3 linked regions of the Arabidopsis thaliana genome follow. The protein of the gene in region 3 interacts with the protein of the main gene of each other region in a pairwise test. Each region holds a gene or a part of one and is shown on either strand. Other genes may lie near its edges. The genes, in order: SD1-13, PP7 and CAM3.

Region 1 (11,769 bases), on a different chromosome or scaffold from region 3:
CGAGCAATCCCTCGGACTATCTCCATTCTTTTTGGCCAATCCAACTCTGCTCTCTGCTCTTCATCTAGCATGATGATAAGAAGAAAGAAACAAGAAAATTCAGAGTCATTGATCTTCCTGAAAGGGAGAATTTGAACCTGAGTTAAAAATGTTGAACGTACGGAATATGAAATAGTCTAGGCTCTTGTTTGGTAAATACTCGTATACCAACATCTTCTCTTCCAATTCAACGCAACATCCTAAGATCCTCACGAGATTTCGATGCTGCAACTTTGATATCAGCTTGACCTCGTTCTTGAACTCTTCCATTCCTTGTCCCGAGTTTCTCGACAACCTCTTCACCGCTATCTCCATACGGTTTTGTAACACGCCCTAAGTAGAAACAAAGGAAACAATATTCCTTACTACTTATTGAACTTAATAGTGTTCTCTCTTGGAGGAGTATTGATGAAAAATGGATATTGCCTCTTCATTACCTTATAAACAGGTCCGAAACCACCTGCTCCAAGCTTGTTTTGGGAAGAGAAGTTATTTGTTGCTGCAACGATCGTGTTAAGATCAAATAAAGGTAACTCCCGGTTTCTCGCCTTGTCTTGTTCAAATCTAAATGATTCGTCAAAATCAAAAGGGACCGGGGCGAAGTTTGCCGAAGAGCTTCTATGCCTGTTTGACTCTGCACTTGAACATGTTTCAAGTAGTTAGTTGTGAGCTAAGATAGCAGCATATCATCTTAAGAGATTCATCATCAGATATTCACTTACTTCGTCGCTCCCTTACAACACAGAACAAAATGACAGTTAGTAACATTACGGCTGCAATCAAACTGATAAGAATCAGAAGGACTCTCCTCTTCCCTGATAAGCCATTTCTGTTCCACCGCGCTGAAACAAGCAAGAAACTCAGTATTTGAAGTACTTCGATACTAAACATTGACATGTTTCTTTATTCTCTTTGTTTTAATGAAACAGAGTGGTTGTTTTATGAAGAGCAAGAACGTAGAAAATAGGGATTCTCATTTATAGATGTGTACCTAACTCTTCCTTGTCTACACGTATGTAGAAATCTTGTCCCGAGTTCAAGTATGTCCTTGCATCCAACATACCACCATGCCATTTCAAGCATCCTATTGCTCCTCTTTTACTCTCGTGGTAAGCACTTGCGTAAGCGACACAAGAGCAGTTCTTCAAGCACCTCTGTTTGCACTCCTTCAATGTTATGTTCATATCCACACTTGCATCTGATGTGTCGGGAATCTTCATGCGCTTTAACTTCACAAACCCGTCTTTCTCACTGCATATTGAAGCTCTCTTTTTCTTTGTACACCCGCCAGAAGAGTCCCTCAAGAACCAATGCCGGGGAAACTTGGGCTCAAAACCAGGTAGGCATGTGCACTCAAACGTTTTTGAGCTAGGGGAATCACAGTAACCGTTAGGGCCACAATGAGCGTAGTTATCGCACTGCTCTTTAGGAACTGACCAGAAATCATTCCATCTCTTGTCCCTCGCAATCCATGTAAACCGGTGCATGGTTCCAGTCTCGTTCACCATGGTTCTTGTTATGACCGAAGCATCTGTCACACCGTAAGTGAAGGATACTTCGTCCTCATTATTCACAAATGAGTTATTGAAGATGTACCCTATTGGCATTTCAGGCACCCCGCTCCACCTATGCCCGGTCCATGACCCCATACGCCACCATGGGGTTACACCTTTGTACAGAATCAACTGTGGAAACCCTCTACGTTCCATCCGCAGTATTAAGTCTCCAGAACCAGGGTCACCATGAGACTTCCATGATGTTAGAGAGCGATCCAAACCGTCTTTTCGTGTGAATCCCAATCTCATAAACGGAAGAAACGTGTCTGTAGGGTGATCAAAGCTCTCCCAGAAACTTCTCCCTGTGACTGGATCAAACAGAACAAGGTTGCCTAAATCAGAGAGTGTAGCAACTAAAGTTGGTTCCAACATACTATCTGAAACATTTGTTGACCAGATAAGCTCTGTTTCATTGTCAGATGCATAGACAGAGAGATTGCCTCTGTTGCTGAACTTTACCATCCCAGAGGTGTCATTAATAGGATGGTCTCTGTTTGCAACCCAAACAATAGTCTGTTGAGAGATTTGAGCATACCAAATCCCAACATACCGGAGCTCTGAATCCCCAAGACTGAAGAATCCAAACGCGAATCTCTTCCCTGCGGAGAGTATAACCTCACCATCTCTCAAGGACTGTCTTCTCATAATTGTATCCACAGAGATACAAAATTGGAAGAGGAAGAAAAAGAAGATAACGAAGACAACCTTCATATTTGTGTTTGTTTCAGAGCAAGGATTTAGTGAAAATGTATAAATGCTGTGTAAGTATTGAAAACCAAGTGGATCAGTCATTAACTGTGAGTCACGCCCCAGTTCCGGATATATCTCAAAGGTTGGACTTTCAAAAAGATGTAAGAACTGATTCATGTGACTTAAAAGTGTGAAACTAACTAAAAGAACACCAACAATAATCATTAATTACGTACCAAAAATGGAGAGTTTTGTTGGTATCGAGAAACTCCTATGATTACATATCTACATTCTGTGTATTTGTATGTGCAATGATTGGACTAAAGAGCAGAAACTGTATTCCAAAGAAGTACGCTCAGATGCTCTGTCTACAATAAAACATGTTCTATATTTATGTGACTTCATACAAGAACATGACCAGATTCTGAATTTTAGTTCGTAACCTATAGATTACTCTTACATACAGATATACAACTTAAACATTTTTTCATCAAAATTCTTTAGCAGTAGGTTTATCTCACTTACAGAGCTAACGTCCTGTTATTTTTGTGAGGCTCACATTGTTGATCGATGCTCTTGGGTCGCTTTGTCCCGAGGATTCAACTTCTGAAGTGCCCCTTCTAGGTATAAATGCAGGTTGCTTTGGCTCTGGAAGGTTTGAGTTCTCGCTACTTAGCATCCAAATCACCGTTGCAACGCTCGGCCTATCATTTGCGTGATCTTGTACACACAATAGTCCTACGTGCACACATCTGCGTATTTCATTTTCAAAACACTCTTCAAAGATGACCGGATCCACAAGAGCAATATCTTCCCCGGTGTTCCAGAGTTTCCATGCCTGGTCAAAATAAGGAGATAAAGTTTCAAGAATGGTTCAAAAGCTTTACCAAAAGAAAGGTCGTGGTTTTAAAATGAGACTTACATAAGCTGAAAGATTTGGATTCTGCCCATCATTGTAAAAGCTTGAGTTTCTTCTTCCACTCACAATCTCTAAGAGTATGACTCCTAAGCTGAAAACGTCAGATTTCTCTGAGAACAACCCTCCCATTGCATATTCGGGTGCCATATAACCGCTGTGGTGTTATGCTTTTGTCAGTTACATAATTGACAATCATCGAAAAAAGATCAGAAAAAGCTGTGTAAGAGTTAGTTAGGGTGGCTACTCACTATGTTCCAACCACTCTTACGGTGCTTACTTCATCCTCATTCCCCTGGAAAATCCTAGCCAGCCCAAAGTCGGATATCTTCGGGTTTAGATTCTCATCTAACAAAATATTGCTTGCTTTTAGATCTCTGTGTATGATCTTCAGCCTTGAATCTCTGTGAAGGTACATAAGACCTCTGCAAATCCCATCGATTATGTTAAACCGCGTCTTCCAGTCAAGAAGTCTTTGCTTCACCGGGTCTGGATTACACAGCAACAAGGTGCACAAACAAGACTAGCATTAGGTTCTGTTCATGTGCCTACTAAGACTGTAACAGAGTTAAACCAAACGATAAGTTCACTACCAAATAGATATGCGTCTAAACAATTCTCTGGCATGAACTCATAGACCAACATCCTCTCTTCTCCTTCAATGCAGAAACCAAGCAATCTCACGAGATTCCGGTGTTGCAGCTTTGAGATCACGACCACTTCATTCACAAACTCCTCGACTCCTTGTCCCGATGTTCGCGAAAGCCTCTTCACAGCGATATCGAGCCCTTCTTGTAACCTCCCCTGTAAATGAAAGTAGAGCAACTTAACACTCCATTGTCACTTTGAAATTCCTCCTACCAATGAAACAAAGAATTGTTTAAGAACCTTGTAAACAGCACCAAATCCTCCTTGTCCGAGCTTGTTTGTGATAGAAAAATTGTTGGTCGCCACTGCTAACACTTGGAACTCGAACAGTGGTAGCTCTTTAAGCTTGTATTGATTCACAAGGATTGCACCAACGTCATTACTACTTAAAGCTTCCATTCTCTCATTAAGTAGCCTTGTGTTTCTGTTCTTCTCTGTTAAACAAAGCAATGCAAAAAGTTAGTTATCTAATAATATAAAATCATAGAGAGATATCTCTTATATAGTTGGAATGTAACGCTAACCTCTATGCTTAGCGATCTTCCACAGTGCTAAGACAACAGTCCCTGCAAACAAAAAAGCGCCTACTAGCAAAGTTACTGTGATCACAATTGACCGATTGGTCCGCTTTTCTACAAAAGATTTGGTGCAAATCTGTTATGATCTAGTAAACTAAGTTGGATGGAAAAATGAGGTTGATACTACACTTACTAAACTCTGAATCTGCAAGACGAATGTAAAAAACCACGCCAGTGCCAGAAAACTCCTGCATATCCATCAAGTTTCCGCTCCAAAGAAGACAACCAATCCCTCTGTCGAATGAGTAAGCCGTACAAGAACAGTTCTTCAGACAGCTCTCAGGACAGTCTTGTTCATTGGCTCCAGATCGTTGTGGATTGTGGGGCACTTTCATCTTTTGCACTCTCACAAATCCATCACTTTTTCTACTTCCATCGTTGTTGTCTCGACTTTCGCACTGCAATGGTGCCTTTCTTACGCATCCCTGAGTCCAGTTTCCGTTGTTCCACTCCGCGTAACTCTGTGGCTTAAACCCTCTAATGCACATGCAAGGCGGAGTCGACCCGGGATTGAATCTGCAACTAGCGAATTGGCCACATGTGGCGTATGTATCACACTTGGTCGATGGGACCTTTAACCAGGTCTTCCATTCTTGGATAGCCACGTTCCAATCTCTCTGAAACACGCTTCCTTCGGAGTCCAAGAGAAAATGATACAACAAAGTATTTCCAGCATAGGACATGGAGACAGATCCTCGATTGTCACTACTAAGGGTTAACTCGAAAAGATTGATACGGTAATCCATATTTGGTAACCCAATGAAGTATTGACCATTCCATGGACCGCTACGCCACATCAGAAGATCATCTTTCCAGACAACAAGTTCTGGAAATGGCAGAGGAATCAAACCTGCAGAGTATCGTCCAGGCGATGGATCAAACGGGCTTTTCCAAGATCTTAGCTTAAGGCTCCTGCCTGTTTTCGTGTCAGTAGCAAGACTCATTGTTGGCAAATATATGTTTTGAGGATGCTCAAAGCTCTCCCAAAGAATCTCATCCCCAGTATTAGTAGTTCCTAGCAGCACGAGGTTCCCTGTATTCAGCAACCGGGCATAGAAGGTGTTAGCAGCCACCGGCACCAAGACATTGGTGGACCAGTGAACCTGTCCGCGACCATCCATAACAACAAGATTCCCTTCCTTGGATATGGAAACCATTCCGGAAGAGTCATTGATCGGGCTGTTACTGTTTGCTACCCAAACCACGGTTTGAACAGGAATATTATTGAACCATATCCCTGCATAACGTCCTGTGGAGTTAACCGGGCTGAAGAAACCAAACCTGAAGGTGCTGTGGTTGGAGACGACAGTCTCAGAGTCCCTGAACTCGCTAGAAAACGTGATTACATCAGTAGCCAAACAAAGCCTCAAGGAAAAGCAAATCAATGTAAGAAGAAGAATTAGCAAACAACCCATCTTCTCAGCAACTTTGAGAGAAACGTAGAGCTTTAAGGGTTGATTTAATCCTAAGACTTGAAATAACTTTATGTCATCTAATGTTTGGTGGTTACATTTAATTGCCACTGGCAGAGGCACCACACTTGACTTTTCCGCTCAGAAATAATTGGAAAGTGTGATGGGGCCTTACGAGCATGTGTGAGATAGGGGCATGCAAGGAGTCACTATCAGAGACAACTTCACATTTTGCAAACTTGAAATCGAACTTGGAAGCCGTTTTGAAACCAGGTCGCGCAACAACAGGCAACAGGAGCTCATGAAATCGACAAATGCAAACAAGGATTTACCGATTCCTTAGGTAAATGTCTCTTAACTCTTCAAAGTTGGGAATAGATAGTGGACGTTGATCATAGGAAGAGAGTTCGCTGCTTGAGAATAGGGACAATGTGGTGAAAATGTTAATGATGCCTACATTTGAAACCATCAGAGATGCTTTCTATGGGGAAAACTAAACTGCAGAGAGACAAAATAGAACTTATTTGAGACTGTACAAACAGTGAAACTTCGGAACCATTATCAGTCTTTTTCCCAAAGATACAAACAAAGACACATCGGTACCATTGATCTTATGAACTTCCACACAGTCAAGAGAAAAGTCAGAAACAGGACAAGACAAATGTAATGGTTCTGAAAGATGCAAGCATAGCCATTTCATGGTAAAGTTTATTTAATGGTCATTACTGACAAGATATATTATTTGGAACCGTCAAAGATGTTATTTTGTACCAACTATTCAACTGCAGAGATATACAAGACCACTGAAATTCTTTTCACTGCTTTTTCAAAGACAAACAAAAGACATCGAATCCACTCATCCCAAATTCCATAGAGTTTAAAACAAAACCAAGAAACAAGAGAATACTTACAAAAGAGATCTAGAATACCCCAAACCCCAAAAACAACACAATTAAGCACACTCAAGAACACAAACCAAGGGCAAAGGAACGCTTTCTTTTCTTTCTAAGTCTCCTTAGGGAGGTCTCCTTCTGCAACATGAAAGCCTGCACAAGATCAGTGATCACAGATAAGACATCATTGATTGATCCAACTTTTGAAGAAATAACTTGACATATCCAGACATCACTGAGACAAAAAAAAGTACTCACAAACAGCAAATCTCTAGCATATCAATAGATGCATATGTAAGTTATTGGTCATTAACATCAAGAGATTACTGAATACAACTAAAGCAATGATATGCGCAAATGTTCAAACATACACACCTCAAGCATCAGGAATAAAATAGCATCTTAGTGGATCTTCCTAATATCCAATCATTCTAAAGGTCAAAGCTTGATCCGAGCAGAGTATTACTGATTGTATATAATATTCCTAAGTAAATTGAAACTGACATGCATTCAAAGTCAACCTTGCTGCTACTGCTTATCCGAAGCATCATGGTACTCATCCTTATCTCCCTCTTCTTCAGCCACCTCAGGCACTGTATGAAGTTTATCACTGTCCATCAGATTCTCCCCACCACTGTCGCCGGATTTCTCATCTTCTCCATCCTTATCATCAGGAAATCTAACAACAACCACCGGACAAGCACAATGGTGAACTGAGTAATCACTGACACTCCCTAATCTCCCTTTACTACTCCTCTTCGTAGCACCAAATCCTCTACTACCCATAATCAAAGTACTTAGCCCTAACCTCTCCACCTCCAAACAAAGCCTCTCCTTCATATCGTGATCCTTGACGATATGGATCTTAAACGGAATATCCGCCTCAACCAAAGGCTGAGCAACGTCGCTCGCTTTCTTATTAGTGACAATGTCGAAATCGTCCTCAAGCTTCCTCTGCGACTCTTCGTTATTTGGATCCCACTGCGGCGACAAATCCATAGCGCCCCAATCGGCGCCGTAAAGTACACTCGTCGGTTGAACATGAAGGAGAACAACGGCGTCACCTGATCGGAGATAGTTCTGAACAGCCCATTGAACTGCGTACGCACTCTCGTCGCTTAGATCGACAGCGATCCCGATCTTACGTTGAGCTCCAGCAGTAGGTGTGCTGATCGGGAATCTGGGAGAAGACGGCTGGACGGTGACAACCGTCGGTGATTTCCGGTCGGATCTCGGAGATTTTCCCGGAGAAGTCATGATTCCGCTCACTCTCTCTCTCGGTTTCTTCAATTGACTCTGTACGGTACGGTATAGTGACAGCGACTCTTTTTATTTTTGTACTCTTTTCTTATGAGAATTGGATATTGTTAAGAACCGTTAGATTGATCGGTTTGAAGATCTAACGGCTGTAAAAATATATAACCAAAACCATAGATATTCTCCAATGGTAATATATAGTCATTCTAATTATATAATTAAAACACACTATACCAAAACTAAAATAACTTTTATTTATTTTTTCAGATAATAATCTAGAATCACCAAAACCATAGAAGAAAGATTTTTGACAATAGAAACATCTTTGAAGAGTTGTGGGCTAGGAGTGAAAGTTAACAGCTCTTCTTTACACCCATCCCCCATGTCAAACGTACAAACAACCCTTTGTTCTAAAGTGATATAGTCCTTGGATGCCAAAGTTGTGAAGGCGTCATCAAAACAATCAGTAGCTTTGTCGAACATTTCTGCACATACATGGTAGGAACCTTTAGCGTTGGGATCCGTTGTGCTTCTTACGAGTGCCTGGAATTGTTTCAGCATATCTGAAGTTTTTCGAGAATTATAAGTAAGTATATATTTGGTAAGGCCATAGAAATCCAGTGATGCAATTTCAGGGGATGAGTTCAGGAACTCAAAGCACAATGAAGCATTGGTATTGGCTTCTGTATGTGTGCAGATACTGTTGATTTCACTTTTTGTAATCTCCGTACTAAATCTTGCAGATGATGAAACAACAAAAACAAGAAAAAAAAAACTATATGAATTAATAAACAACTTTTGACGTTTGAAAACATTTTTTTGTTCAGGATTTTAGAGAATTATGTGTGATTTGTATAGTGGAAAGGGGAACGTATCTAATCTAGAGTTTTAATGCTAACATTGTGCTACCATAATAAGATGATTTACATCTTTAATCAAATAATAATAATCTACAGTTTTAATGCTAACATTACGTATCTTCTTCATTATATTAGTAATAACTAATAAGTAATGACATGATTAACATTAATAGCAATAATATGGCAAAGATTCAACGGTTTCCTTTTTCGTAATTTAGATATGTGAGGTTTTACAGTCGTAGATTTCATTCATGTAAAAATAAAGGAAATCTGGGATGAATCGCACAAAATTCTTATTGCTAGGTAGGTGAATAAGGTAGGTGAATAGTGCAAAATAAAACAATGTGTAATTTTACATCAATGGCAATATGGCAAATATTCAACGGTTTTGTGAGCTTTGAAAATTTTAGATTTTTTACGAATTTTGTATAGGTGAGATCCCTAGTCGAGTATTTACAGCGACTCTTTTTCTATTTTTTGACTCTTTTTTTTTATGAGAATTGGATATTGTTAAGGACCGCTAGATTAATCGGTTATAAGACCTAATGGCTGTAAAGGAGGGGCTAAAAATCCAGTCTTAAAAGTATTTGATTTTTTCACAATTCTGATAATAAAATCTAAAGATCATATCCATTGGTTGAAGATTCTTTCAAGTCTTAATATCGCCTAATTATATAATTAAAAATTAAAAATATATAGGAAGAAGTTTAATAAATCATGTGAAGATAATTGTCATACCGATTTCTCAAAAGTCAAAACTTTCTCATAATGAGAGATCCATTAACTTTTCTCAATTCAATCGTCGATATTTTTGTAGAGATTTATGGGATATCTTAAAAAGAGGCAATAACAACACTAATATAACGTTTTTTATTTTTTCAGAAATAGTTTCACAATCACCAAACCCATAATAGACAGATTTTTGACAATAGAAATATCTTTGAAGAGTTGTGGATTAGGTTTGAAAGTTGACAGCTCATCTTCACACCCAGCTGCCATGTCAAACGTACATTCAACACTCCATTCCAAAGTGATATAGTCCTTGGATGCCAAATGTCTGAAGGCGTCATCAAAACAACCAGTACCTTTGTCAAACGTTCCTACGCATACATGATAGGAACCTTTAGCACTAGGATCCGTAGTGCTGTTTACGAGTGACTGGAATTGTTTCAACATATCTGAAAATTTTCGAGATTCATAAGTAATTAAATATTTGGTAAGGCCATAAAAATCCAGTGCTGCAATTTGAGGAGATGAGTTCAAGAACTCAAAGCACAATGAAGCATCGACATCTGTATGTGTGCAGATACTGTTGATTTCGCTTTTTGTAACCTCCGTGCTAAATCTTGCAGATGCTGAAACAACAAAAACAAGAAAGAATACTATATTAGCAAATAAAAAACAACTTTTAACGTTTAAACACATTATTTTTGTTCAGGATTTTAGAGAACTAGGTGTGATTTATATAGAGAGGGGGTGGGGGATCGGACGCATCTACAGTTTTAATGCCAAGTTGCTAACAGATTGTGTTACCATAATAGTCTTTGACCAAATAATAATAAAGCCTTTTCGAGACAAAAGAGGCTTACGTATCTTCTTTATACTAATAACATGATTTACATCAATAGCAATATGGCAAAGATTTTCAACGGTTTCCTTTTTCGTAATTTTTAGATATGTGAGCTTTTAAAATTGTATATTTCATTCACGTAAAAAATAAAGAAAATCTGGGATGAATCTCACAAAATTCTTATTGCTACCTAGGTAGGTGAATAATAGTACAAAATAAAACAAAATGTAAATTTTACATTCATGGCAATAGGGCAAATTCAACGCTTTTGTGAGCTTTTAAAAGTGTATATTTTACTCATGTAAAAATAGATATTTTAATGCTAACAGATTGTGTTACCATAATAAGAAGATTTACAAACCGAAATCGTAATCAATACGAATTATATACGGTTTTTATGATTTTAATTTTTTTTTATAAAATAAATAATCAAATTTAAACTAAACTAAAAGAAATTTGCAAAACTACCCTTTTTTACTACCCTTTTTGCAACAATATCTTTTTATATTGTTTATTTATAAAAAAAATCCCTTTCCTTGAACAAAATGACCAAATTACCCTCATCTAATAAGAACATGTAATTGGAAACTGAAAGTTGGCGCCAAAATTTATTTTTCCCGCCAAAAGAAAAAATTCCACCAAATTTCTTTTCCCGCCAAAAAAATAAAAATTCCCGCAAAAAAATAAAAATTCCCAGCCAAAAAAATGCTTTTAAAAATCCTTGTAAAATTTTTTAAAAACTCTTTTAAAAAACCTTGTAAAGTTTTTTAAAAGTTTTGATAGTTGCTAAAAACCCTTGTAAATCATTTTAAAACCTCTGAAAATCTTTATAAAGTCTTTAAAAACATAAGTAAATACTTTAAAACCTTTTTTTAAACCTTTGTAAATTATTTTAAAACTTTTTACAATAGTTTTACAAGATTTACAATCGTTTTTTAAATATAAATTAGTGACATTGAACGATTTACAAGGGATTTTAAAAGCTTATAAAAAATGTAAAACATGATTTACAATCGTTTTAAAGCATAAGTAAGTGGCATAAAATGATTTACAAGGGATTTAAAAAAGGTTAGCATGGTTTACAATCGTTTTTAGCATAAGTAAGTGGCATTGAATGATTTACAAGAGATTTTAAAAGCTTATAAAAGGGTAAAACATGATTTACAATCGTTTTTAAAGCATAAGTAGGTGGCATATAATGATTTACAAGGATTTTTAAAAAGGGTTAGCATGGTTTACAATTTTTTTTTAAGTATAAGTAAGTGGTATTGGAATGATTTACAAGGGATTTTAAAAGCTTATAAAAGGATAAAACATGATTTACAATCGTTTTTAAAACATAAGTAAGTG
Region 2 (10,542 bases), on a different chromosome or scaffold from region 3:
AGCTAGGGGGAGGGAAGCATCACAAGTTACAAACTAACAACAACAACAAAAAGTACAATCCCAAACTAGACAGACGTACTCTTAGTACAAACCTCAACCCAAAAGAGATCACTGAAAAACCTTCGAATCCAACGGAAGAACCGGAAGTAAAAAAAAAACGGAATTGACTCAGGCTCAAATTCGTACACGCTTGACATCAGTTTGTGGAACACTGATATCACCTCCATTACCTTTGCTTGAACCATCCGTTAGGCCCTAACACACAACCAAATTCAAAATCACACACATAGATTTCATCCTTGAAAACAATCCACGATCTTGACAGAGCAAGGTATAATTGTGCAGCAATGATTAATCAGTAAAATCTGGTTCTAAGCCGATATAATTGTGCCATTTGCTTTCATTGTAGTTTACGTATTGGATATAAAGTTTAGTAGAATTAACAAAATTAAGGCTTACCGTTTCATCAGGAACAACTGCATATCTCTCTGCAGGCGACACCCAGCTTTTCCCTGGTAACAAAGCAATGCAAAAGTTGAATCATTTAATCACTTGTTGAGTCGTTTACAGAAATCGTTTTAACTAGTGGTATTGTTTAAATACCTGAAGATGGATCGATATTAGAAGATTCTATATGTTGTCCACTTGCTCCATCGACGCTGAGTGCCTCTATAATCTTGGGAAAGTTCCTATAAACACCAAACCAAATATCCATTTCACATTATCAAGATAGGTAGTGAGTGGGATTGAAAAGCAATGATTTTGGTGGAAACAACGATCTTACTGGCCAATTTTCATATTCTGTTCGTAACACCAAGATATGTTAAGTGGAAAACATTGATTCATGAGCGATTAGATGATCACACTTTTACCTGTCAACCGACTCTCCAATGCCGAGCTGTCCATTTGTACCTCTACCCCAAGCAAACACGTTATTTCTTTCAGTGACAGCCAAGGTATGTCTCCATCCACATGAGACTTGAACTACTTTCTGTGAAATTCCACAATATGTGTGCATTGGAAAAGAAAACAGCGAATTGAGACATGAACTTATTAATATGATTATATAGCCGGTAAAACATTGGGACGAGCTTTCTCGTTAAACTTTTTTAGGGATAACATGCCTGATCATCGGGAAATCGCACTTGCACAGGAGAACACTGATCTAAATTATTGCCGACTCCTACTTGTCCAAACTGCAGGCTAAAAGAGAGACAATTAGAAGTTTGTTTTATTCAAGATGAGTTACTAAAGTTACCCAATATATGCATTGTTGTTTTCTTAAAATAACATCTAAGTGAATGCATATCACTCCTTAACAGCATAAAGCAACTAAATGCAAATATCAGTGAATGTGTAGATGAAAATAGGTGTTCTATACATTTCTACGAAATATAGGCCAGAAAAAAAAAAAAAAAAAGCAAGACATTCTAGACCTTATTCCAACCCCATCCATATAGTTTTCCATCTGAAGTCAATGCCATTGTATGTCTCCAACCTCCCGAAATCTGGAAAAGAAACGAACAGTAAGTCCAAAAGATGTCGAACAGAAGAAGAAAACCAACAGAAGTACATACAATGAAGCCAGTCTTCTTCAGTAGGTAATAGTTGTCAGAAAGTTTTCGAAAAACATATTATTGCTATCCCATATGTTGGATATTTCAGATGTACAAATTTGTATTTCAAGACAGATTTATAAGGCCTAAGTGAAACCTGGGAGATAAAACTGTTGCTCAGTGCTTCCAGTTTGTGAGGAATAAGGTGATCCTCCAAGTCTCCATGTCCTAGCTGTCCATATTTGCTCCATCCATAAGTATACAATGCTCCAGAGTAGGAAACTGATATTGTGTGCCGCCATCCACAAGCAACCATTGACATTTTCTCACCCTAAAATTGTAGTTACAACCAGGAAAACGAGAGTCAAGTGAGTCGAAATGAAAAGAGAATTAAGGAAAAAATTGAGGGACTAAAATGCAGAAATAGAAGTTGGTAAAAAGGTGAGGTTGCGTGATATCAATGTTATATGAACTAAATTTCATTTCATGAACTGTGCAGATTCAGGATACCAAACTTTGATCATTCTAAAAGTTTTATGGTCACTTCCCTGACACCCACCAACTGAAATTAGACTGCATATACGTGTGACTCCATCAATATAGACAGCTAATCCAGAATAGTGCAGTGCATATTGAGCTATTCACGATTTCTTTCACGTATACTGAACTTCAAATGCAAGTTTAAACAAGTAGCAGGTGCTTAAACAAAAATTATAGAACAAGAGTCTTCTAGCTTACACCAGTAGAGGTAACTCTTTCAGGAACTAAGCGGTCAGTCCGGTCACCTAATCCCAAATTTCCGTATCTTCCCCAGCCCCATCCATAGAGGTCACCATCTTCTGTAACTGCAGCAGTGTGTTCTGCACCAGCAGCAACCATTTTGATTCGTATTCCCTGCACCCATTACAAGTTTAAAGTGTTGATGTAACAATGGAGATCAGCGAAACTAACAACATAAACTCAGGGTCTCTAATCACTTAATCTTCTAGTTTACCTAGTCCGATAAATTATCAATAAGATCCTACCTTCTATCTGTGTTTTGCAGATAGTATAACACATAGACATCCAATTTAGTATCTACCACTCCTAAAATTATGTAACTTAAATTATGATTCTGAAGACATCTTCACCAGATGTGGACCCTTAACTAGTAACAGTCATATGTTTAAGAAGATCAAGTTGCAGAAATAGACCCAACATTGACCCAATTCTGAAGCATAGTATTTGGCAAGTTGAGGAAACTACAACGAAAAAAGATGTTAGAAGAATATTTAGTGATACAAACCTCAAAGGCTTGAATCTTCTGAGGCACTAGAGAATCTTCGGTGTCCCCCAGACCAAGTTGACCATTCTGGTTGCGGCCCCAACTGTATAAACAGAAGTCAAAGAGATATGTTGGAAAACAAGACAAGACAGACAAAACGTTTAAAAGGCAATGTACACAATAACCAAGATATATAGAAATGACACAGGACGCAATCGACATTATCAAATTCCGATGAAATTCATCTAATTGAGCTGAGATGTAAACTGTAAATGATTGCACATAAGGAGAAGAACAATAACAAAGAGAAAATACCTCTGGACCTCTCCTTCCATAGTGACAGCCAAACAATGACTATCCCCACAAGCAATCTGCTTGATCCGAATACCGTGCAATGCTTTGATTGGTAGCGGAGTAAACAAGTCGCTTGAGTTACCATGGCCTAATCTCCCAAAATCACCCCTGCAAAGTACACATAAAGGTTAGAGAACACGAGGCTTAAAATATGTGCAAATGAGTGTATAATTAGTTACTGTTTTCTACACAAAAATCTAGAGAGGAACTAGTGGTCATCATCTCATCCCGAATATATCAAACAGACTGAAGAGCAATTGATTCAGCAGCAAAGAAGAAGATAATGATGAGAAACAAACCATCCCCAACTGTAGACTTCCATGCCTGATTGTGAATAAGCAACAGTGTGATCAGCACCACAGGTAACGGAAACAATTTGGTGGCCATCTAAAGCGCTAAGCTGAGTCGGAGAAGGTCGATCCTCTGCATCGCCATGACCTAACTGTCCATCCTCTCCTCGACCCCAAGAACAAACAATGTCACCAGCTACAAAATCAAAACATAAAACTACTCATTAGTAGACGACGAAAGTAAGGGAAACTCGATTAAAGGCCAGATCAAGAGAATTCGCGAAGAGCACAGCCTACTAAAGCAGCGGATTTCACAATTCCGGTGATTATTTGAGTCCGTAATAGAAAAGGAAAAAAAACAGCGAAGAAGAAGAGAGACGTACAGAGAAGAGCGACGGAGTGGCTAGCACCAGCGGAGATGATAAGAACCTTACGAGGAGGAGCCGTAACTTCGTCGGCAGCCATATCCTCCGCCATGGATCACAGTTGCAGTTTTCACAAGATATTTTTTTTGGGGAGAAATGAATTTTGAAAAAAGTAAGAAATTTCTATTTTTTGATAAATTGGGAAATTTTGTAGCTTCTCTTTCACTATCCGTAATCTCTCGAGGGTTGAACAAGGAAAGACAGAGAGAGAAAGCGGTAGATGGTAATAAAGGCGCGATGGAGATTTGCACATGTCATATATCTGCTTTTTGACTTTTTTACTTTTGCTGGTTTTTTTATTTTTTGTTTTAACCGTACAGTAAATCTCTTTTTTGTCGTACAGGCTTTAATTGCAAAAGGGTCCCTCTTCACTTAATAAATCCAAATACGGACCTCACCGGTAAAGTTTTATACTTTCATAATTTCACCATTTCTTTTTTTTTTTGTTTCTTGACCATTTCATTTACCTCTTCACATAAGTAGATTTAAGCCAGTACACATGACATTCTAGATCGTAACTTGTGTTTTATGTGTTCATCATTCACAGGTGTAAGGCGCATAGATCGTAAGAGCCTAATCATATGTTTTTAGTCATGCACACGTGTGAAAGTATACACGTTAGTCAAAAAAAATTCTGAGTTTCATAGTCCAAAGTGACATATCCAATTTGTCTTTTTAGTTATAAATATTCAGTTCAGCTATTTTAGTTTTTCAAAGAGGTCAAATTAAACCTGGATTACAATATGGTGTACAGTTTGTCTTTTTATTATGATTCTGATTATCATATGAAGATACGTCTTGCTACATGTTATTTTATTCAATTATTCAAAATGCATGGTTCTACATATGGAAATATACAGATATACGGTCTACTTACAACTTGATTTTTTTTTTTTTTGTTAAATTACAACTTGAAGATTCTACTATCAACAAAACAAAAACAAAAAAAAATCTTCTATCGATCGAGCGAGATATTCAAATCAAAATACATGGTCAACAGGTCAACTATAGATTCAAAATATATGAATACCTAAATATTCAAATTAAGATATATCAATTCACGATCTAAAACATCCAAATATAGATTTTGCGAAAACGGCCAAAGAAATTATACATAACGGATAAAAATAAATAAAAAATTACATACGGATACTACTTAGTAGTACTTACTAGATTACCTAAAACCCATAATCTTACATATACATATGGATAAAGGTAACATCGATGAATTACTTGTTTCATCCGATCTGGAACGAATATATCACCTCGCTCGACCTAACATTTATGTGAAACTAAAAGGTTGTTTACATTGAGATAAAACCAACATTATATGCTTGTCAGTGAGGGAAGTTGTGACATCTATTATAGTAAGAAAATTAAATGAATGAAGATATTTTTGCATTGCCTGATACATGCATTATATGTATTGTCCAATTTTGGCATTAAAGTCAACGAGACAAAACTCTAGATCAAGATGGTCTCTAATGTTGACATTTGTTGCGACCTCTTTCAAATGGGTTCATCTCATCATTCATCACACAAATTTGTTGCATTATCTTTTATAATCTTGTTAAATAAACATCATTACGAACAATTTGTGGAAAAATGGAAATTATATGAAAGCCATTGGAAGTACTATATACAATTTAATGCACATGACTTCAACAGAAAATACTAGAGAGACAAGATAAGACACCTATAATAATTTAAGCTTGACATGAAGTGCTAAACAATTACTGTTTAGAGACATATATGCACATGAAACTAGGAAAGAAAAAACATTGCGGTGAGTACATGTCAATGATTGTCGATGAACAAATTACAAAACAGTAAAAATCAACACCCACCCACATGGGTTCCGGTATAAGGGTCAAGTTTGGCGATAACACAAATTTTAGGGTTTGCAAAAATGTTGTAACCATAATCGGTGATGAAATATGGAAGATCATGTGAATATTTAGATGATGAAACTATTTGGCTGAAAAGACAGTTAACTTTAAGCTTTATTACTTGAGATGCCCCGTGACAGACAACGAATGACCTTGGAGAGAATCACACAGATGATGCTAGAGGTAGCTTTAATGTGTTATATTTGCGAATGAAGATGCTTCACGCTCCTGTCGAATTCTTCTCTCTTTAGAGAAAGAACAGACCATTATTAGTTTAGCCCACTCAAGAGAAAAAACCGAAAACAATTGCAATAAATGCTTCAAAGTGCAATAAGGAACCATAAGATAGTTAGCATCAACCTCCACTTCATACTGTCTTTTACAAGAAGACATACATTCATCTGAACAAATTGCTACCAAATTCGGCATTTAATAAGCTGTCTCGTTACTTAGGATTTTCATAACCACACAATTTTTTGTTGGATAAGATTCTAGTAATGTGTCAATATTTCAAAGGAAAACTATAATGCCGACAGACACATAACTTGATCCACAAACTTCCATTGGACTAATCTACTACTCGATTTATCATTCAGTTAAAAGCAATTCTATACAATGAAAGTTACTGCAAGTTTGACCTCTCAAGATTTAGGCTAACCTGACAAAACAGAGCAAAATCTTACAAGATTTAGGTTTAAATAAGACGTGTAGGAACCAAGAAACTAAGAACTACATGAGATTTAAGATGGTTCTTATTTCTTCATCTTCCATACATAACTTAAATGTGAATTCTACAAATGATTTTCTTCATCTCTTTTCTTTACATTTGATTCCATTTTATGTTTGCAAATAATGAGCAATCACAACAACTGTAAAAAACATCAATTCAAGATACTCCTTTTCAGCTTCGGTCAGCTATTTGGTTGTTCGTTATTGGTGTCCATTGCTGACTTATCCATCTCATCATCAGAATCAATGACATTTTCAAAGTCATAATATGGATGCGCCTGCACATTTAAAAACCGATGTCGCTATGTATGTGTATCAAAGAAGTAAAACAACTCGTTGGTTCATTATCAGCATCGTAAGTTAGTTACCTTTGGTCGCGGTTTAACAGCTTCGAAACTATGAAATTGAGGATCCGAGAAATCAGGCGCCTGCAAAATAATATATGCTCCTTTGTTTTTGTACCTCTCTTCTGTTGCCTACACCACACACAAAAATGATTGTTAACGCATATCTTTAGAAAATGCAAATACCAAAGGCGTAAAAATACATACTTGGAATTGCGGATAGTCAGGTGCACTGAAAATAGTGATAAGCTTTCCGGATTCGACATTGTGGTCTATTGTATATCCATTGTCCATTCCACCAAGACCAGTTCTCTTCTCTCTAGCATCTGGACCTTCATGTGATCTGATGATCAACTGCACCAATAAGTGTAAAACATTTGATCCAATCATCCATATCAGTATTTGGGAAGCAAACAAGCATCAATATCTACTTTGGTGTCACCTTCAGTTCATATTTCTTCAAAAAATCCTCTGTACAATCGGGACCCCAAAGAAGACCAATGCCTCTCTGTTCATTTGGTGAAAGGCCCGGAGTCATTGAAGGATCAGACCATAAAACGTCTCCTGGTATCAAGTTTGAACCTTCCCAAGGAGGATCAAGAACTGATCTTCGAGCTTGCATCAACTCATCTAAGGTACCGAGTTTCATTGAGCTCGGCTCAGGTTCCAGAAGAACTACCCGACGGTTCTTTTTCCCCCTTGTTGTTCGCTTAGGCAAGACTGGGCTGCGGAAAAGCCCTCCATGTGCTGTATAAACACGTCCAGAAATTATGGAAGCCAAAGGAAGACCTTCAAAGCAACCCAAACATTTCCGGTACACATGTTTTCCCTTGTCTCCGTATTTTGTAAGCACTTCCTTCTCGAAACCATACATAGATGTACAATACTTTGACTCATGATTACCACGGAGTAGGTAGACTCTGTCCGGCATCAAAACCTAAACAACCAAAAAGATATGTGCTTTAAGAATACTAAGACTTGAGCCAATAGTAAAACAGCTTAGTAAAGAGTTTACCTTCCAGGACAAGAGAACAAGGAAGGTTTCAAGTCCCCAAGCACCGCGATCCACATAGTCTCCGTTGAAAACATAACACCGGTTTTGACAAGGAAAGCCAGTATCTTTCAATAGGAAAAGAAGGTCATGAAGCTGACCATGAATGTCACCAACCACAACAACGTTGGATACAGAGTCAAGATCATCGATATGAACGCAGTTACGTTCTTTGTGGAGGATTTTATGAGCGGTGAGGACGAGGGAATCAAAGACGTTGACAGGCAATAGTGAAGGTAACTGGGAAGGAGGTAGATTCCATGAAGACCATTCGAAACACGACATAAGCCCATGTACCCAGTCGTTAGTGAGAGCTCCCCCATCTGGCCATGTAATGGGAGATGGTGGAACAGTTTCCATTAAAACTGTAAAAACACTAATCTATAATCAATTCCAGAGTATGAACATGTGAAACAAGAGTATCAAGCAATCGAAACATAGACAAAGTTTTCAAATTTCAGCGATCAAAGCCACCAGAACATAAAATCGAATCTGTATATATTCATTCGTACATCTTTAAACTCAAGAGAAGAGCAAAAAGTACAAAATCGAATCATGGGAAATCGAAATCCATATCACAAAGAATAATTCGGAACAGAGTGAGACTCACCGGCTAAGAGTGGAGACAATTTACAAAATTCCAAAGCTTGGATCTTGGACCTAGCTAAGCTAGCTTACTTTGCTTTCTCTCTGCTTTCAGTCCCGACACCGTCGTCGACGAGATTTAGGATCTGTCTGGCTTTGGATCCATTTACTCAAACGACGTCGGTTAACCAGCTAAAAGGATTCAAATCAAATTCATGATTCCAAACCGGCCGGTTTAATAAACGAACAAACCTTTTTTGTCGTGACGCTGCAATAGCGTTTTGCAATCACGCGCTATCGAAAACGCGAGTTCGAGATTTTGTTAAAGGTGGCCAACCGGTTTGTTCTGGTTTTGATATAAACTTGAACAAAATTGGGAGACCGAATTATACATTGGTCTATTCGGTTACTTATCGATTTCAGCTTGATTTTGTTTACGGTACTATCCAAGGAATTTTTGTTTGGTTTCGATTTTTTTATTTTTCAGTGTGGATGAAATCAAACCGACTAAAATCGGTTCGATATCGATTTTTACATTTTTTCGGTCCGGTTCATGCTTTTCCTCTATTTTGAGATATTTGTACTGAAAAGCAGAAAGAGAGAAGAAACACAAAAATTGGACTTTGGTTTGAAATTGGCGACATTTTTGGGAAATCTAGAGACTAATAATCAATTTCGTCAAAAGATCAAATCTTGCTAAATTTTCTTCTGCTCGTTTGATTTTCCGAATCGTTGGTTTCGATAAGTGAAGAAAAGATGGGGAATTTGTTCGTGAAGAAACCACAGATCACGGAGGTTGATCGAGCGATTCTCTCTCTCAAAACCCAAAGACGCAAGCTTGGTCAATATCAGCAGAAGGTTTTTTATTCTCTCTTCTTATATCTTAATTTTCTTTTGTTACAATTTCTTTTGGAACCCAGATCATATAGTTTTGATTCATCCAAAATCCTAATTGGAGATTGGATTTGATTCGTTTCACAATATGTGTCTTATGATTGTTAGTAGTGTGATGGAAAAGAAAGACTCAAGCTTTTGAGTTCTTTGGCTCATCTCTTTGTTAACCGATCTTCTCATTTTTTTTGCTAATTTAGCTTGAGAAAGTAATTGAAGCGGAAAAGCAAGCTGCAAGAGACTTAATCCGTGAAAAGCGAAAGGACAGAGCTTTGTTAGCATTGAGGAAGAAACGAACTCAAGAAGAGTTATTGAAGCAAGTGGATCAATGGGTCATCAATGTTGAACAACAAGTAAATCCTTCTCCTTGTGTGTATGTTTTGTATCCGGCATCGTCTCTTTTGATGCATAATTATGGCTTTCTCAAACTTTCATGTGAACTCGCAGTTAACAGATATTGAACTTACGAGCAAACAAAAGGCAGTGTTTGAGAGCTTAAAGCAGGGTAATAGTGCTATTAAGGCCATTCAAAGCGAATTGGACCTTGATGATGTTCAAAAACTAATGGATGATACTGCTGATGCTAAAGCTTATCAAGATGTGAGTCAAAATACTTTCGGGTTTCGTATCATTTGTTTATGATTCATTATTACGTTATCCGCTTTGTCAGAATGTAAATATCTTCTTATTTGATCACTGCTTTGTGTGGCACAGTTTGTTCTGAGCTCGTCTAGTGTGAAAACCTCTATAATCTTTTTTGTCGAGCTTTTGTGTTTGATGACTCTATTTACATTTCCGAATGTCAGGAGCTGAACGCTATATTGGGAGAGAAACTATCAGCAGAGGATGAGGAAGATATATTAGCAGAATTTGACAACCTAGAAAGTCAGGTATGGGTTTACAAAATAAATTTGTGTATTATTATCTTTACTAGATAAAGAGACTAATGTTGATGTGTGTTTTGCTTAAAGCTTATTGTTGATGAGATGCCTGAAGTGCCTACAAAGGAGTCTGAAGAATCTGAGAAGCTGGATCTTCCGGATGTGCCAACAAAAACTCCTGTCGCTTCCAATGCGGAAATCACACCAGCTGAGTCCGCCACAAAAACAAAAGGTTTTTCCTTTCGTCTTCTTCTTCTTTTCCTTGTTAGAATTGCAAGAACTA
Region 3 (9,677 bases):
CAGACTCCAGATCTTCAGAATCTACCTCGCACGAAATCTCGTAAGTATTAGTTGGAAATTATATTTATTAGTTATTGGAGAAACTTGATAAGCAATAAAGAGTTTTGACCTAAACAAGTTATTTGTAATTAGGGTTTTAAACATAGTCTAATGTTTTTTCGACCTAAACAGAGACAATGACAAAGAAGGTTTGTTCATGTATCAACGAGTTGCCCGACGATTTGATCTTGAAGATTTTGTCATTCGTTTCTACTAAACATGTTGTAGTGACAAGTCTTTTGTCAAAAAAATGGAAATCTCTTTGGACAAGGGTGCCTATACTCAAGTACGATGTTCGGGATCACACTAGATTTGAACGATTTCTCGACAAGTCTCTGTTCTCACACCAATCTCATGTTCTAGAAAGCCTTCATGTCGAATTAAGTGTGACCCTGTGGAATAAAGACATTGGACCATGGATTAGAACCGCGCTTCATCATCATCATTGCCACCTCCGTGAGCTAGAGATAGATGCTTGTATTGTCCATACCGTATTACCTCCTGAATTGTTTACCTGCAAAACACTTGTTGTCTTGAAACTCAAAGGTATAGTGATCGATGTGGAAGCTCCTCTTACAACGGTCTCTCTCCCATCCCTAAAAACTCTGCACATTGACCACTCGAGTTTATTCGACTTTGGATCCCTTCAAATGCTTTTATCCAATTGCAATTTTATTACTGACCTAATGGTCATAAGAGAATCTCGTTTCTTTTTTGCTGAGTACGACGTTTCTTGGTGTAAAACACTTATGGCCTTGAAACTCGAAGGCTTGAAGGATGTGATAAGCATTTCTTCTTCTTCCGCGGTATGTCTCCCACTCCTCAAAACTCTCCATGTTGCCCGCATGGAGGACTTTAACAATGATTCCTTTTGTCGGCTTTTATCCAATTGCCCTGTTCTCTCCGACCTAACACTGGAAGAAAAAACCAGTGATGTTTTGTTGAATTTGGATATCGACATGCCTTACTTACAAAGATTGTCGATTATCACAAGAGTCGATGCAGATTCCAAGCATATTTTTAGTTTGATGAAAAACTACACTCGAAAGCTTGCGATTATCGCACCTTCTTTCAAGTACTTCAGCATTCAAGAGTTGGCATATGCAAGCCGTTACCGGTATATTGTACGGGTTAGGCTCGGAGTTCCATCAAAATTAGAGGTAACTTTTTTCATTCCATGTCGTTTCTTTCTCGTGTTATATCTTGTTGGAACCATCACATAAATGAAATATCGTGTTTTTTTTTTCTTTTTTTTCTAGGATGCAAGTACCTTCAGTCGAATCGTGCATCTGGAGCTGAGCATATGTAGTGAAAGATCTGTGGAAATGCTTGTAGATTTGCTCCTATGTTTCACTAAATTGGTGGTCCTCAAGCTTGAACATGTATTCAGTTTTCTCCCTTTTTTCCTTTACCATTGTAATTTATACTAGTGTTTAATATTCGACCTCAATGATCTTATTATTAATAGCAGTTTTACCATTTTTTCTCGTGATCGCAGGTTTACTTACTAACCCCGTTGGGTCGTTGGGAACCGCCAAGTTTGGTTCCCGAATGTTTGTTGTCCAGTCTTGAAGCTCTAGAGTGGAAAGGGTACACAGGGAGATACGGAGATAAGGATCTGGTGAGTTATCTCCTGAACCATGCGCTTTGTTTGAAAACGGCAAAAATCTTCTATAAGACATATCCATGTGAAGTGGAAGCGAAGCAACAGATTGAAGAGGACTTAGCTTCGATGCCAAGAGGTTCAAAGTCATGTGAAGTTCTTTTGAATGAAATTATAAGAAACAAAGCAAATTGTTAAATGATTGCTAATATTTGGAAGAAACTCGCGGACATCTTATGATTTGATGCTTCACTAAATTCAATGTTTCATTAAAATTTCTACTGAGGTGTTTCACATTCTCTTGTGTTTAGGTTTTTATTGGCCTTCTGTTTCGTTGATCATTTGAAGCTATTCAATGAGCCCCGTTAGGAAATCAATTTAACGTAAACTGACTGCCATTGATAGGACCTAATTTGCATTTAAAAAAACAATGACACTAGAGACCTTTAATAGAAAACCACGAACTAGACCAAGTTACAAATTACAAGAGCAAGACAACAGAAATAACAAGGCTTTTGAAAATATTCAGACGCAAAATAGATCATAAAGGGATATAACATTCGTTTCTTAAACAACCAGAAAACATACCTCGAGTCCCACACAAAAAAAAAATTAGAACATAACACAAGAATTTATATGTAAGAGATGCAAACCAAGTTTAGAGCCATTGTTTGGTTCCAAAACAGCATCACTTAGCCATCATGACCTTAACAAACTCTTCATAGTTAATCTGTTAAATGAGAAGAAGGAAACTCTTCATAAGAAGAAGTCTTGGGTTGCTAATTCAGACGCAAGAACCTTCATTAGGTTGCTCAATTTCACCTTTGATTTTTGTGGTTCAAACAACGCTTGTCTAATCATCTTCTGTTTCTCCTTTTCTTTTGCCACACGCCTTAGAGTTTGCAGTTTCTTCTCTTCCTTCTTTGTCAATTTAAAAGGTTGGGGAGGTTTAAGAATATTCTGAAAAACATCTTTCTTGTGTTTGTTGTTGTTAACCATCAATGTACTAAGATTAATCACATGCCCATACTCATCTATTTCTCTTCCAAGTACATCTACACGCAGAAAAAAGCCCTTGGTCTGTTTATGTGCAACAGCCGTATCTATTGCCAGCTCCTGAAATCGTTTAACAGCTTCAAGGATTTGACTAGAAGTAGTGTCCGATGCAATAGAACAAGTATACGGCCTTTTCTCAAACCTAGCTACATCTTCAAACCTAGAACTCTTGTTTGTCGTCCTAGCCGCCCCATTCTCTTCCTCTGATCTATCTTTCCTCTTACTTCCTTCGTGAGACCTCTCATGATGATGCTTAGTCCTATCTCTCTCATCACGATCGTCACGGATGCTCCTGGAATATCTCTGCTTCTTGTTATCCATGATGAGACAAATTTAGGGGAAGTATGAAACGAACGTGAACAAAGAAACACAAAGGTATTTTACCTATATTCACATCAATTGAATGATCCCAATTCAACCACGAATAGGAAACTTTATGCCGTTTTCCTTTTTCTTAAACGACCACGAATTGGAAACTTTTATGTCGGTTTCTATTTTTTTAATGATACACACCACACCACGTTTTGACCTTTTTAGTCATTGATAGGACCTAATTTGCATTTCACAAAACCATGATACAATGCTTTACTAGAGAGACACCATTAATAAAAAACCGCGAACTAGACCAAGGTTACAAATTACAGGAGCAAGACAACAAAAAAACAAGACTTTTGAAAATGTTCAGACGCAAAATAGAGCATAAAAGGGATAAAACATTCGCGTCTTAAACAAGCAGAAAACATACCTCGAGTCCCATGAATAAAAATTATAGAACATAACATAAGAATTTATATGTAAGAGATGCAAACCAAGTTTATAGAGCCATTGTTTGGTTCTAAAACAGCATCACTTAGCCATCATGACCTTAACAAACTCTTCGTAGTTAATCTGACCATCACCATCAACATCAGCTTCCTTGATCATCTCATCAACTTCTTCATCAGTAAGCTTCTCACCAAGGTTTGTCATCACATGGCGGAGCTCAGCTGCTGAGATGAAACCGTTCTGGTCCTTGTCGAAAACCCGGAATGCTTCCTTGAGCTCTTCCTCAGAGTCGGTGTCCTTCATCTTACGAGCCATAAGGTTCAAGAACTCTGGGAAATCAATGGTACCGTTACCATCAGCATCCACTTCGTTGATCATGTCTTGAAGCTCTGCTTCGGTTGGGTTTTGTCCAAGGGAACGCATCACAGTACCCAGCTCCTTGGTGGTAATGCAACCTACAAGCAAATCAAGAATTTGTTCATCATTCACTTCTCTGTAAATCTAATTCAATCAAATATCTTCAATTACGAAACTCAAAGCAGGTTTCTCTGTAGAGAAGCATTTTAGCTAGATCCCAAACTTCTCAATTAACAGTTTCTAGTCATTAACTTCTCAAATCTAAAGTGAGATAAAATAATTCAGATGGAAAATTAAATCCAAATCGATAACAAATTGGCAAATCTCCAAGTCATCAATCATCCAAATTTCGATTCAAATCCAATCCAGGAAACAAACGAACAAAAATTGAAAAACAAGGAACGAGTCTAGAGATCACGAATTACAGATCCGTTAATTATCTACATCGACACAGATCAATTGAATCAACAAGAAGAACAGAAATCAAATCAGTTATGGCTAGACACCAAGATCCAACAGTAGCAAAATCCTATGTATTCAAAAACATTTGAAATTGCGAGAGGGAGAGAGAAAAAAACAACAACGTACCATCACCATCCTTGTCGAATAAGCTGAAAGCTTCCTTAAACTCAGAGATCTGATCGTCGGTGAGCTGATCCGCCATTGTTTTTTTCTTCTCCTTTTCGTGAAACCTGTAGATTCAGAATTTTTTTGTTTTCTCTCAAAACGAGAAAGAAGAAGAAGAAGAGAAAATTAGAAAAAGTGTCTCTGCTGGAAAAAACGAGAGAGCAACCGTATTTATCGGGTACGAAGCTATTAACGACTTTTGCTCCGACCCGGGACTTTAAAAGCTTTTTTTTTTAACCCGTACCGGGTTTGGAAAAATCTCTGTTATAACCTCGGATTATGACTGTAATTGCGTTAATGCTATCATCAATGATTTCTTTTCTCTTATAAAACGCCAGAGTGGACAATTAAACGGATCACACGTTCACGCGGTCTGTACGCGGAGCGTTGACTTGACTGTCACGTCAGCATTCTCGCTGGGTCCTCGAGATCTCTCTCAGTACAGATGTCTGTTTATGATTGGCTTCGCTTTTGAATTTAAGTAGTCCTCCTCACCATTGAAAACAAATAATTAGTTTCTTTTATTGTTAACTTAAGTACAATATCACCTGCAAATTAATTAGATTAGATTTCGTTTTCAAACAATCAAAATCACTTCAAGATATAATTGATACGTCTAATCAATTTCTTAATAAATTCTATGATTAAATTATGTATATAAGGTAACTTAAGAAAGGTATATATAAAGAGAAAACGATCGAGTTTTAAAATATAGGATGAGTTATTAAAAAAAACATTAATATCTGTATCTAGATGAATATATTGTTTCTGATTTTGTTAATCATTCATTTATTTAAGGAAATCTATGTAGTACTAGTATATACATGAATTCATCAAATAGGGAAAGTTTTTATATTGAATGCAAATAGTGTATCATTCATTAAACCCTAAACAACCAATTGCACTCTATTGAAAGATATGTCTTAAATTCTGAATAAGCTAAGAAAATTATAAAATAATTTAAACAACAAGTGTCATAGGTGAAAATTGTCGCAACTATGACTTCCATAACCGTCACAACGAACCTAAAGATATCAATCGCATCAAAACACTAATCTTCTTCGACACGCGTCGAATGGGAGAGAGTTGCTGCTGCCACGTCGGATGTGTTGGCCTTTACCTCCTCCGCCGTAACAAACAGAAGAATCCACCGGCGATTGATAAAACTCGTCGTCGTCGTAGTCAGAGAAGGAGAGCTCTCGAACGGTCTCTGCGATCAAGTCGCGACAGATGTGATCATGAAGAGCCAAACCGATTTTAGCGACCTCTCTTCGTTGACCAGATGCCACGTCATCACAAACTTGGTTCACGCTCTCCATCAAGCTCCGTCTTACCCTCCGCACCACAAGGGGCAACGTGCCACATGACTCTGTCGTCGTCGTTGACGTTGATCTCTTGGAAATGACGTCATGAATGGAGTAATGATCGGGTCTAGTGATTAGATTTATATTGTTGACTTTGTAGGGTTTGTTGTCTTTGCAGCAATATTCGTGATGGTTCATCATCGACAACATCGTGTCTGTGTCTGGTTCGTGTTGTGTCGTCTTCGTGTTCTTCTGCGTGTGCGTCCCCACGACGACATCTCCTGCCAGTACTGTTGGTTGTTTGTTAAATAAGACGAAAATAATTTATCAGACAACTTGTGTGTTTAGTATATAAATTAGTACGTTGTCACACAAATATATATAAACTATTACTAGCGAATAATAAGACTCAGGCATACATGAAGTGCTTGTAGAATCATTTTTCTTTAAAAGTGGTGTTCTTGATTTGGTACCATAAAACAGTATGTGGGTCAGAATCAGGAATAAATCAAAGAATGGGTGGGGGTCCAAATGATGGGAAAAGTTAAAGTGGGCTTCATGACTAAAGGAATAAAGGCCCCTAAAAGCTGTTTCTTCCTTCATCATTTGTCTAACATGCCTCTTTCTCCTCACACTTTCTTTACTCTCTTCTCCACTTTAATTTGATCCTATCAGATTAGACTAAACCTCATTACATAATTAGCCCCACCGAAACTTAATTGGGGTCCATACTATATTGTCTTTATATAATTTTGAACACTATCCTCAATATGACAACAACTATATAATGATCCAATTGTTAGAGCAATTAGATGTGACATCAAAATCAAATAACACAGTTTATGCATGCATGAAATTGTTAGAGCAATAAGATGTCTTTATCAATATACTTTTATTTGTATATACCAAAATGATGAGCCTGTCTTCCACTATTGGACATACTCATGATTTCAACACCACCAAATTAAAGAGACAACTCTTTGGCCTTCCCATTCTATCTTCACTCTTTATTGCTACTTTAGTTGACACAATGTTCACTTAAGTTTACTACTTTAATTTATTTATTTTGAACAACAAAAGATTAAAATACAAAATTCCCTGATAATGTGCTACAAATTACGGACCACATCAATTCTCCCACATTTTAATATGAATTTTTCTTTCTTGATTTTTGTTAAGTTATCAATAAATAAGAGAAGTTTTTATAAGTGAAAAAAAAAAAAGATGATTTCGACATGTTTGTATTAAACGTATAAGATGACCAAAACACTGACAAAAACGGAGAAACGTACCGGTGCCGGAGAATTTAAAATTCTCACGTGTGGTCGGCGGAGAAACCTCAAGTCTCTTGTGAAGAATGTAAGTGGTTTTGATGACGTCGATGGTTCTTCTTAGCTCCTCTAAGTCCCGATCACATTTCTCTAGTGCTCCGACTAGACTAACTCTCGCCGCATCTCCCTCTCCTTCATTGTGCGGAAGCGGTGGCGCAACGATTCCTCCGCCTTGTCCGTTTGATGAATCTTGCGGAGGAGAAGCGTAAACGACGGTTCTTTGTTCTCGCTTTTTAGATCCCAAGGTGATGGATTTGCGGCGGTTGAAGGTGGAGAGGAAGAGGTTGAAGAACCCGGGGAGGCAGCCGGAGGAGACGGCGGAGGAGTTTGAGTTTCTCCGTGGAGGATTATGGTTTTCCCGCCATGAAGATGAAGGAGAAAGCAAGTTCTCTCGTTTACTCTTCTTCATATTCCTCCTATCTGTTTTTGTTTTTCTCACCTCTTTCTTTTTCTCTCTATCTAAAACCTTAAATTCCCATTTAGTCAAAAGAAATTATTCATTTCAACGGTAAAATTATAATATTATACCCTTTTTGTGATTTAGGTCTCCATGCTTTATTTTTATTTTATTCTCCTTTTCACTTTTGTTTTACGTTTTTTTTTTTACTTTAAGGTTGGTCCATTTGCACATGGCAAATTCCAAAGCATTGACACTTTACTTATTAGCTATAGACATTATAATGTCATTTTTTGGCTAGACATTATAGTGTCTTTCATGTTTTGTTTCCTATTTTGAAGTTTAATTAGTGCTTACTGGCTTACAAAGTAAATTATCACTCAACTCTAGATAAACTTCAACTAGACCTTCGAATACAACATGATGGGGATTCCATTAACAAAATTAAGAACCCTAATCAAATACTAGGCATTTAGGAGTTTAGCACAAGGCTCTATGAGAAACAAAAGGGCATTATTAAGAGTGTTCTTTAAGATTCATGACCTTGTGCATGCTGGACAGAGAAAACTTTTAGAGCTTTTTTTATCAATCCTATAAGAATTAGATATTTTTTGTACGAGTAATTGTAATTGCATCATTAATGGCACTCTGTTTTGAGACCATAAATCATTTACACGTTTGAAGAAAACAATTTATGCTTTAATTTAACAATTTTCGGTAAGCAGAAAAACTAACACTGCTCACAAATTTTACATGTAGAGATATATTTCCATCTGTCAAATATAATTGTGATTGAAGTTTTTAAAATACATAAAACATTTTGATCATAAATAATAAGACTTCGTAATTGATTGATTACAGTGCTGAGTTGGCAAATTGCAATAAGATTTTTTTAGAAAGACATGCATTGCACATTCAGCTGTGAAGAAACAACAAACTCTACATACGAATTGATTCTCACTGATCAGACTAATCTTACCATCATATCAATGAACACAACATTGGAAGTTTCAGGTTTATAATCTCAGTAACAATATGACTGACCAGTCAAAACAAAGCCTACTCTATACAAATAAGGGCTCGAAAGAAAGAAAAGCCAATGAAAATTTGAATGAACAAGAGAAACTAAACTAACCCACTTTGGTTTATAGATCATTCCATACTTTGTAGTCGCTAGTTGAGCTGTTGTTCTGCATATGGTCTTGGCAGCCTATGAAGAAAGTAGAACGCACAGGATCTACATTTACTAGAGCATGAGCCGTGCCACTCTGACTAACAGCTACAGCTACCTCATCCTCTCCAATTAACACTTCGGCGTAACCTTTATCGACTTCGTGGTTTTCCAGCTGCATTCATATAGGTTTGTCCATAAACAATGTTTGATTGATGATTTTGGTTCATCTTGACCCGAGAGCAGTAAAGAAATGGAAAACCAGGGCACAATCATCACAGGAAAAAGGTTCAAACAAGTAAGATAAGCCCACTTAGTCACATTACTAAACATCTTAATGGAAGAAACTCGATTTTTCATTCTTAGACAGTGATTAGTGGTTCAGTGATCCGTGAGTAAATGACTGATGATATTAGTCCAATAGTCAAGAACATCTTTATGATAGATTCAGAAGTGATTTTCACCTTTATCTCAATAAAAAGAGTCCCAACGCAGAATCTAAGACAAAAAATCAGAAAACCACATCAAAGGAACTGAAATCTAGAGTTTGTCTAGACACCTTAAACACTCCCAAACCCTCAAACCAACCAAAGATAAGCCTGCTCCTGCAGCTGTTCAAACCTCTACTTACACACATCATGTCACACAGGTTTAGTTAAGTTGGCATAGCATTAGGAAAAACTCTGAACTCTCCTTTCCACCTTCTTTACCAAGAGTTATCACATACCATTCAATGAAGCATTGGATACTTAGATAAGCAAAAACAGAAATTCCTTTCTGTTAGAGGTGTTCAACAGACTATAACTCTTCCATTATGTTTCAATCAATGAGATGGATGATGAGACTTACCCTGAATTTTGTCTTGGCTCCCCATATGACAAACGTCTCATTACAGGTATGGTGTCTATGGTTTCCCCTCAATCCACCAGGCCGTATTTCACCAACATGAATGGAAACACACGATGCGGCTCCACCTTCAAACAAGTGAAAACATGAAATGTGAATCTCCAGTACCGAGAAAAGAGAA

Evidence for each region.
Region 1: the proteins of CAM3 (region 3) and SD1-13 interact in binary tests that used the Arabidopsis thaliana proteins (3 or more experiments, as listed by UniProt).
Region 2: the proteins of CAM3 (region 3) and PP7 interact in a two-hybrid assay, tested with the Arabidopsis thaliana proteins (one study listed by BioGRID).

The regions. Positions count from the first base shown.
Region 1 is NC_003070.9:3,814,911-3,826,679, forward strand, and holds SD1-13 (S-domain-1 13), read right to left. Parts: upstream 5,978-11,769; 5' UTR 5,843-5,977; coding exon 4,561-5,842; intron 4,482-4,560; coding exon 4,374-4,481; intron 4,284-4,373; coding exon 4,090-4,283; intron 4,006-4,089; coding exon 3,795-4,005; intron 3,691-3,794; coding exon 3,453-3,690; intron 3,359-3,452; coding exon 3,208-3,358; intron 3,124-3,207; coding exon 2,815-3,123; 3' UTR 2,514-2,814; downstream 1-2,513. Other genes in the region: AT1G11340 (G-type lectin S-receptor-like Serine/Threonine-kinase), read right to left, coding at 1-64, 162-372, 477-673, 762-881, 1,031-2,306; AT1G11360 (Adenine nucleotide alpha hydrolases-like superfamily protein), read right to left, coding at 7,261-7,989; AT1G11362 (Plant invertase/pectin methylesterase inhibitor superfamily protein), read right to left, coding at 9,720-10,274.
Region 2 is NC_003076.8:25,554,647-25,565,188, forward strand, and holds PP7 (serine/threonine phosphatase 7), read right to left. Parts: upstream 8,671-10,542; 5' UTR 8,513-8,670; intron 8,279-8,512; exon of another isoform or gene 8,268-8,278; 5' UTR 8,263-8,267; coding exon 7,867-8,262; intron 7,789-7,866; coding exon 7,294-7,788; coding exon of another isoform or gene 7,279-7,293; exon of another isoform or gene 7,206-7,278; coding exon 7,059-7,205; intron 6,984-7,058; coding exon 6,876-6,983; intron 6,786-6,875; coding exon 6,690-6,785; 3' UTR 6,424-6,689; downstream 1-6,423. Other genes in the region: UVR8 (Regulator of chromosome condensation (RCC1) family protein), read right to left, coding at 175-255, 460-512, 604-689, 873-991, 1,125-1,196, 1,437-1,508, 1,714-1,887, 2,295-2,450 and 4 more; VPS20.1 (SNF7 family protein), read left to right, coding at 9,244-9,345, 9,579-9,731, 9,826-9,978, 10,113-10,268, 10,350-10,491. UniProt on the Arabidopsis thaliana protein: Phosphatase active on para-nitrophenylphosphate (pNPP) and on various phosphoproteins such as myelin basic protein.
Region 3 is NC_003074.8:21,031,437-21,041,113, forward strand, and holds CAM3 (calmodulin 3), read right to left. Parts: upstream 4,731-9,677; 5' UTR 4,485-4,730; coding exon 4,409-4,484; intron 3,919-4,408; coding exon 3,545-3,918; 3' UTR 3,098-3,544; downstream 1-3,097. Other genes in the region: AT3G56780 (FBD, F-box and Leucine Rich Repeat domains containing protein), read left to right, coding at 177-1,199, 1,299-1,421, 1,538-1,840; AT3G56790 (RNA splicing factor-like protein), read right to left, coding at 2,399-3,019; AT3G56810 (uncharacterized protein), read right to left, coding at 5,491-6,041, 7,044-7,491; AT3G56820 (RmlC-type cupin), read right to left, coding at 8,625-8,825, 9,500-9,624. UniProt on the Arabidopsis thaliana protein: Calmodulin mediates the control of a large number of enzymes, ion channels and other proteins by Ca(2+). Among the enzymes to be stimulated by the calmodulin-Ca(2+) complex are a number of protein kinases and phosphatases. Activates MPK8 in vitro.